Linked DNA regions of Oryzias latipes. The protein of the gene in region 2 interacts with the protein of the main gene of each other region in a pairwise test. Links are inferred from orthologs where the notes say so. Each region holds a gene or a part of one and is shown on either strand. Other genes may lie near its edges.

Region 1 (3,820 bases), on a different chromosome or scaffold from region 2:
CTGCTGAAAACCCAAATTGACCATCCTTGTTCAGAACCGCCGCCAGCTGGCGCCGGCTGCGCCTGGAAACAGGAAACAGGGTTTAAGCCATACAAGAAGTGATCTAACAATGGGGAGTGGTCCCTGCTGTACTGATGGCCCCTCCCTGAAAAAAACAACAACCTGCTGATGGTCTTTCCCAGAAAAGTTAAATATTTCAAAGCAACTTTCAAAACCATCAGCAGAGTTTGGGATCAGCTGAGGCTCCGCTGTCCGTGGTCCTGAAGCCAGCAGACGGCGGGGAATTGATGGCGGGGCCGCGGCGGCCACTCGGGCGGGCGGGGGCTGTGTTGGCTGATATCACTCACCTGGACCTGAAGGGGTAGTTCTCGTAGTCGTGGTAGAACCGCCGGCCCGTTTGGTAATAGGTCAGCTGTGGACCCATCAGGTGACGGTTCAGGAATCGAGAGGAGCTTCTGGCGGGAACCAGGTCACACAGAGACACCGTCAGTTTGCATCAATGTGGGGGGAGAAGTGACAGTGGGGGCTTCAGGCCCACCTTGAAGATCCATATCTCGGTGGTCTGACGGTGGGGGCAGGATGATGTTGGGGGGCATATGGGTTGTAGGTCAAGGCTCCAGGTGACAGTGGTGGGGGTGGGCGTGCTTGCCCTACAGGCTGAAAGCGGGGGGGCAACACAGAAGAAGCAGGGCCCCCATAAGAGGAGGGGGGTGGCATGAACAACTCCGCCCCCTTCACCACGTTGTTTCCCCGGGACTTTCTGAAGTAGCGGTGGCGGTGGTGGCGTTGACCACGGGAGTCTAGATCTGAGGAGCACAAACGGGGGCAGGTTATGGTGGAGGTGGTGGTGGGGGGTCTGAAACTGAGTAGGAAGCAGACCTACCAAGGTCTTTCCTGGAGGGGGCAGCCACATTCCAGGCAGGAACTGGATTGACTGGTTTCAGATCAGTCAGGGGAACCAAGTGTCTGCATGAAAGATCCATTTGTCAAAGGCTGGACCAACTGGTTCTGGTTCAGTCCAAGTGGGCGGCGGCATATTACTTCTCTCCCAGCTCCTCGATGAAGACCGTGACGGCCGCGGCGTGCGTTCCCACCTCCTGGATAAAGGCGTTGTAGAACTTCCCCTTTGGCTCCAAACGCACCTGAAGAGGAAGAGGAATCTGGAGGAAGTCTGTCTACAGACTCCAGGACAGGAAGTGAGGCGGTCTCACCTGACACTTGTCTCCCAGGAAGTACTGCCTCCCGGCAAACACCATGTAGTCCGTCTTCTGCATCTCTGTGAGTCGACAGTTTCCAGATTAACACAGACCTGCAGCTGGAACCAACAGAACATCCATGCTGTGTTCATCTGTGTACCTCAAACAGGAACCCTGTTTGTTTCTAGAACCACCAGAACTTTGTTCTGGACGTGTGGCGTCCGCTATAACATCTAACTAATCAGATCGATCTTAGGCAAACTGTCAATCAAATCGGCCTGTAGGGTTAGACGAATCAATCTTGGAAAATACAATCTGGCTTGAGGTACACCAGGTTTATGCAATGTAAGGTAAAAGTGACCAATCACAGCGGAAAACTACAGTGAGCTCCCAGTGCATGCTGGGAGGTGGTCCAGTCACATGACTGAGGTTCTGGTCCGTTCTAACCTTTACAGGTGTCCTGCCACACGTCAAATTCCAGATTCCTGTAGACGTCGCCATCGAGAGCCTTCATGACTTTGTAGGGCAGCGAGAGTCTGTAGGAGGGCGGGGCTTCTCCAGGAGGCTGCGTTTCGACAGGAAGAGTCAGCGGATGTGACATCACACAGCCTGTGGGTGCGTCTGTTGTTTTCCTCCAAATTTTATTTATGAGTATTGAAAAATTTATAAAACTGTACATTTAAATTCAGTTTTGGACCCATAACTTCTCTATTCTCAACTATTCTTTTCTTTTCTTTCAATAACAGAACTTAGTATCTAACAAGACACAAAACAGGGAACAGCGGATGCATTATTAGGGAGGGAGGGAAGTAAAAAATAAAATAAAACCTTCATCTTGGTTATCAATATAAGCCAGACATATTTATTACCTCCAATAGTAAATGATTAACATAGAACAGCCATTGTGACCTTATCTTCCAAAATGTAGGCATCTCTATCCAAAGTGAGTAGGTTAGTCTTTCCATCTGAAAGATTTCATTTACAACGTCTATCCAATTGTCCAAGCAGGGTACGGGGGGGGGGGGCAGTGTCTAGTCACTGCTTTTTTACCAGCAGTTATTAATATTCTGAATACATTTTCGTTGGTAGGTGGGAGTTGTGTCTTGTGGTTGGTTTCTACTTCTGCCTCCAGCACTTGTTTTTATCTCCATTGCCGTGTTTCTTTTGTTTGGTTGTAATAAAAAACTTCAAACATTTCCATCTAAATTCTCTCCATGCTGTGAATTTGTACATTTCCACACTGATACACAGCAATCTCTCCATTCTTCGTCTGTCGTAGTTGTGTTGCTTTCTTTCTCCCATTTACTTTATATATATTGAGTTGAGGTCATTTTTTACTCATAAATCCCTTGTAAAGTCTAGATATCAAACCCTTTTTTACATTTTCCTTTGCATGCTGTTGATATTTCACCAAGCACTGGTTCCTGTGTATCCATGGTGTGGAGGACCTCTTTGTTAATGTAGTTGTAAATATCTGTAAAAATCATTTTTCCCTAAGTTATAATTATCCTTAAGTGTTTGGAAATCTTTCATTATTCCCTTGTTGAGTAAAGAGTAATGTGTTTAACCCTTGCACTGTCCAGTGGTGACATCTATTGTCTAACTGCTTGGGCTTGAAATCATGGTCGTATGCGCATCATCTTACAATTTTGAAGTTATTGTGTAGTCTGTGTTCCTCCTTTATTTGGGACCAGATTTTCAGTTGTGTCACTATCCATAGTTTTCCCCTGTGTCTTTGTTTCCCATGAGCGCCTGTAGTGGAGAGTCTGAGACTTAAAGTAATTCAATGCCTTTCCATTTGAGATTTAATTTGGTACGTAGTGGGTTGGTGGATCATAATTTAAAGTCAGTATTTGGGTTTTCCCCATGTTTAACTTCTATCCTGCGTGGTATCCAAATGTATTTAAACATTCAAATAATCTGGGCAATGATTCATTTGGTTCACTTGTGTAAATTATTACATCACGCGTCTCCGTTTTTACCTTCATCACCTCCTCGGAGCACGGCTTCTCCTCACCTGCTCCGCCAGCCTCCTCCCTGCAAGAGAAAGGCTGAAGAAGAGTCTGCGGGGGAGGAGCTACAAGCGTGTGCTGCTGCACGTACCTGTGTCCACGGTCATCAGGTGTGTCATAGCTGGGGTCGGCGTCGCTGCACACAGAAGGGCTGTTTCTATAGCGACGACTTCCTACCTTGAAAGCCTCCATGGCCTGAAAAAGCTCCGCCTCTTCCAAGCCAAACACCTGCGTGTACAGCAGCTCATACAACAGAGCTACACACACACACACACACACACACACACACACACACCTGAGCAGGTGAGTTTCCACACACTGCAGCGCTGCATGACGAGGACACTCACACTGGCAGAGTGCAGCTGAGGCGGGGTAACTTCTCGGGTAAACTATGTCGTAGTGACCATTGATGGAGCAGCACAGCATCACCTGACCACACAGTGGGTTAGCAGCCAATCACAGCACAGTGTGAGGCATCATGTGACCAGAGTGCCTCCTCACCTTTTCCATGTAGTTGTCCTCTGAGATGATTGTGGCCGGTTTCCCGGGGTAACGGTAGATTACAAAACAGCGCCTGGGTGATTGGCAGCAGTTGGGTTACCATGGCAACCT
Region 2 (4,610 bases):
AAATAAATGGAGACAAAGCAGAACTTTGACCGTAATCTTATCTGTATTAGGAGTAGATTTGAAAACAAAAGACATGGCATTCATGTGTAGGTCTGATTTTAAGTTCCCTTCAAATTTCATCTAACTCTTCCTTCGGTCTGTAATTTCTTCATATAATGTTTTTAAGGTAGAAAAAAGAACATTGTTATAGTTCTGCAGAGCAGGACTTTTGTCAAGGAAGATCTTAGAGAACATAAGAAAACTTGGTGGTCCACAAGCAAGTTAATTGAGCCCGCTTCAGAAGGCTTTCTTCTCTAGTTGGTCAAGTATGGCCTGAATTCTCTGCACGGCTTCTTTCCGTGCTTGTCGAACATTGTCCTGTCCCTGAGTCTCCACGGAGTCCAGCTCTAACAGCTCTTTGGTCAGAAGTTCCTCAAGACAGCGGTAGCTCTTGTCTGTCTTTTTGCCTACAAACTCGTCAACATCTTCCTGAAGTAGCTGAACTCTGGTCATCACATGCTGAACCTTGGCAAGGCCTGGATTATCACTCAAGGGCAGCTGTCTGGTCTGACCTGCGGGCGGTGCAGGAGCTTGGGTTGGGGCTGATGGGGGGGGCTCAGCCTGTGAGGTGTTAGTATCACCTCTCCCTGTTTTGTTGTAGATTTGTGGAGGAGAAGTTATTTCAGCAGGCTTTCCATTAGGGGGTGGTGTTGGCCTGGGTTTAGGCCCCACCTGCAGAGGGCGTTGGTGATGCTGATCCTGAAACAACACAAGATAGACATATTTGCTTTTATCTCCTTACGGACTCTTGAATAATTGTTACACAATGCACGTCAGCTGCAGAGCCTTACTTTGGGCTGATAGGGTGGTGGGGCACCAGTCCCGGTTCCTGGCCACGCTGGAGGATGAGGTGGACGGACGGGATTCCCGTAATGATTTTGGGGAGGTTGCTGACCTCCCTGCCACTGTTGCTGTGAGTGGGCATACTGGCTGGGGTGTCCCCATGCTTCAGCCTGGGAATTAGGATGAAGAGCCTGGCCGGTTGGGTAAGGAGAATTCGAGTGAATTGCATGTCCACCTTCACTGTAGTGTGGGTATGATCCAGGAGGATATCCAGGACCCTGAGAGCACAAACAAGACAAACATGTTTATTCTCAAAAATGTAACATTACAAGAAATGGATGTCTCATTTTGGTGCTTTCTAAACACATTTGGGCTGCTCGATATAAGGAAAACTTGTGATATGCGATATTGATGATCAATATTGCGATGACGATATAACTTGCGGTGATACGTGAACACACCAAAACAACCAAAAACATCATTTCCATTTCACTGCAACGGTTTAAATTTTTTTTTTTAAAGTAAACCCTCGTCTAGCATAAAAGGGCACCATCCGATTGGTCAACAATGTGAAGGCGTCCATCCGATTGGTCAAATGCATAAAATGATTTGTTTGATTCCTTAAATACGTCAAGCTTCCATAAGATTGTTTTAGCAAACTCATATAAATAATAATAAGTAAAAAGACTGAAATATTAAACCAAGAACCTTTTGCTTCTATTTAAGTATTTTGTAAGTAATGTGAGTGTCTCATTAATGCGTAAATAAACTCACCCCTTGACAGTGTGGACCAGTGTAATGATGATGCTGAGCGTGAGGCGGCTCGCTGCTTTGATCTGCCGGACAGCCTTGGTGCGGATAGGAACTTGGACTTGCTCTCCTTGGATCAGCACAGTAGAAGGGGTTGGATGGGTGGAAGCTACTTGCCGGGTACGGACTCTGTGCATGGTTGTACGCTCCATGGCCGTTCGGATATCCTCCTGGCATTACCTAAAAATAAAAAATAAGTAAAAAAAGAAAAACAGGGACAAGCCTGAGAGGAAATTGACCACTCTGTGAAAACAGCACTTTTGATACCACAACTATGAGTGTTTGTGCAAAAGAAAGATGAGGAAATTGATGAGAATCAAAACAGTGAGCAATATATTAAAATGTTGAAGGAAAGGAATGGCTCGTATAGTGAGATGTACCTGTGGATTGTACTGCGGATGCAGATCTGACGCTGAAGGATAGGCATTTGCGTAGGGCCCTGTGGAGTGGGACTGCGGATACCAGTATTGTGGAGGGTAACTTGGATACTGAGGAGCATCCTGTAAAAGGCAAGTTGACACGAGACAGCGACTCACTTTATGTGATCCAACCCATTTTGTGTAGCTATCCTAAATCTCAAATAGAGATATGGAGAACTTGATGCTGAGAAACTTAAATGATAAACGCATTGATAAACATATACTCGTGTCTTTCTAGAAAACTAAATAAATGGATGTTAACTTGTGTTTAAATGAATGAAATAATTTGAGCTAAACCAATGATTAACTCATGAAACTCTATATGATCGCTACGATCTCCTAACGTGCAGAAGTGTTGTGTTAAATCGATATTTTCGAGTCAATGTAATTTAAAAACAAGGACTTAACTAATAAGCTAGCAGTAACTATTACATAATGCCCGCTAGCTATATTAGCTATGAAGCTAGCATGATGAACATTGCGAAGAACTTCTGCACGAACGAACAAACGGATTTTATTGTTGGGAGATTTTAAATTAATCTTTGTTTCTTTAAAGCACAATATGATCTGTCACCCCCTCCCCCCAGTAAAGTTTTTTTTAATTAATCTGCTCGCTTACCATAGTGTTACTGCAGCTTCCGTGACTATTTCCCGAGTTAGTAGAGGGCCAGCCAGTTTTCCCGTTTGGCTGCATTTGGGGTTTCTGCATCAGTTACACGTATTTTGCCATCTTCCAAAATAAGCAAGACTATCACTAGTTTACGGTTCCGCTAGAAATCTGACAGCTGATCAAAGCAGCAGCTTCCCCGCAGAAGTCAGGATCGCCTGATTGCAACCAAGAAATGAATAAATGACGCGGAACTCTGGAGACATGGTACTGCGTCTTTAAGTCGAGTAGAACCATTACAAGTAAAGAGGAGTCACTCTCTAAAACTTTCTGATCGAAATTGCTGGATGAAACCTTACAATTGCAAAACGCAGAAACGGGGAACACAATTAGAATATTTTTAATTAAAGATATTTATTTTCAATATATTTTACTGCTAAGACCAACTATTGAATTACTCCTGTAGCAGTTGTATTTTTTAAACATGTGACGCAACTTTTCAAAATTTTCATTTACGATCTTTGATGTGGCACATGCGTTGGAAGGGTTACCATCCATCATCAAATGGGGACATTTAATCCAAACATGTTTTATAGAAAATTCTTTTTGTATCATAAAATGTATGATACTTTTGTTTAAATCATTTTTACACAGTTATTTTTAGAAAATTCGAGCTATGCGCAATTACGGTGCGGAAGGGGTTAAATGTTTACAGGAAGTGTATAAAAGCACTTCCTGTGCACCGTCAAATAGAAACGGGTAAAAACATTCATGGCTTGATGGTTCAGAAATCAACTAAACGCGTGAAAACTGCAACTAAACATGAATTACGTACCAGGGACGGCCAGTCTCATTGACGATATTGACAGTAAGTTGGGCCTTATAGAAATTGCTTTTTTTAATCATAAACAAACGACACAATGTATTAGCGTGTGCCGTGTGGACGCAGATTTTTTTTAAATGTTTTTAATTTCGCAGAAAAGCACTTGGTCCTGCTGCGAGATGGCAGAACACTAATCGGTTACCTGAGAAGCATCGATCAGTTTGGTAATAAAAAATGAGAATCTTCTAAACTCTTCCATGCGGGTTTATTTTTTTATTTTTATATGATTACGCGGTGTTTCAATAGTCCTAAATTTGTTTGTTTCTTTCTTTTTTTTTTTTTTTTGTTCCACAGCCAATTTAGTCTTTCATCAGACGGTGGAGCGTATCCACGTGGGAAAGAAATTTGGAGATATTCCCAGAGGTATCTTCATCGTCAGGGGAGAAAATGTAGTCCTGCTTGGGGAAATAGTAAGTGTTTTAGAGCAATTTTTTAGTTTGTTCTAAACTTGAATGTAATTTCTGGATCAAGTTTTATTTACGTGAACTTGTTCTCAGATGCTCCGTACAGCACCAAACATCAAACTCTGAATGTGGTCAAGCATCCAGGTCTCGCACTGCAGAAAATGATGTGACTCTTATTTAAAGATCAAGTTAAATTTATATGCAAGTAAATTGTTACTTTATATAGTTACTACAGTTATAAACTTTTTTTTTTGAAAAGTTGCTGCCTAAATGAATACTTGCTTAAAAAGGAAATTGCGCACACATTGACTGTAAAGGTACCTCCATGTTAAGGTTACTTAGCAAAAACAAAAAAGGCTTAATTTTACAACTTTTTCAAATTTGCTGTTTGGTCTAGCCAGATTTTTTATTTTTCTCTCCTGGTTTTCAATATGATATAAAAGAAAAGCGGGTGGGAAAAGTGGTGAGGATTGTCAATCTTTGCTCTTTCCATATAAATACAATGCATACTTCTTCTTACTTTTTTTTTTCTTAATTATAATTTAGATTACCAATGATTACACAAATGATTGCAGGATTGCTGCTAGTTTACCTCACAACCCCAACCTAACATGATGGTGGTAGAAATGAATACGGCAACAATATTAGAGCTATCCAGCCATAGT

What was found.
Region 1: the proteins of bag4 (region 2) and putative bifunctional UDP-N-acetylglucosamine transferase and deubiquitinase ALG13 interact in binary tests that used the Homo sapiens proteins (3 or more experiments, as listed by UniProt). The link is inferred for Oryzias latipes from reciprocal best matches to the Homo sapiens genes BAG4 and ALG13.

What each region holds. Positions count from the first base shown.
Region 1 is NC_019859.2:215,093-218,912, forward strand, and holds part of putative bifunctional UDP-N-acetylglucosamine transferase and deubiquitinase ALG13, read right to left. Parts: intron 3,783-3,820; coding exon 3,710-3,782; intron 3,638-3,709; coding exon 3,556-3,637; intron 3,466-3,555; coding exon 3,300-3,465; intron 3,234-3,299; coding exon 3,179-3,233; intron 1,762-3,178; coding exon 1,644-1,761; intron 1,277-1,643; coding exon 1,212-1,276; intron 1,143-1,211; coding exon 1,042-1,142; intron 967-1,041; coding exon 884-966; intron 807-883; coding exon 539-806; intron 456-538; coding exon 348-455; intron 63-347; coding exon 1-62. UniProt on the Homo sapiens protein: Catalytic subunit of the UDP-N-acetylglucosamine transferase complex that operates in the biosynthetic pathway of dolichol-linked oligosaccharides, the glycan precursors employed in protein asparagine (N)-glycosylation.
Region 2 is NC_019867.2:18,633,595-18,638,204, forward strand, and holds the start of bag4 (BAG family molecular chaperone regulator 4), read right to left. Parts: upstream 2,933-4,610; 5' UTR 2,761-2,932; coding exon 2,671-2,760; intron 2,133-2,670; coding exon 2,013-2,132; intron 1,813-2,012; coding exon 1,597-1,812; intron 1,101-1,596; coding exon 831-1,100; intron 739-830; coding exon 277-738; 3' UTR 1-276. Other genes in the region: U6 snRNA-associated Sm-like protein LSm1, read left to right, coding at 3,481-3,526, 3,637-3,705, 3,836-3,951. UniProt on the Homo sapiens protein: Inhibits the chaperone activity of HSP70/HSC70 by promoting substrate release. Prevents constitutive TNFRSF1A signaling. Negative regulator of PRKN translocation to damaged mitochondria.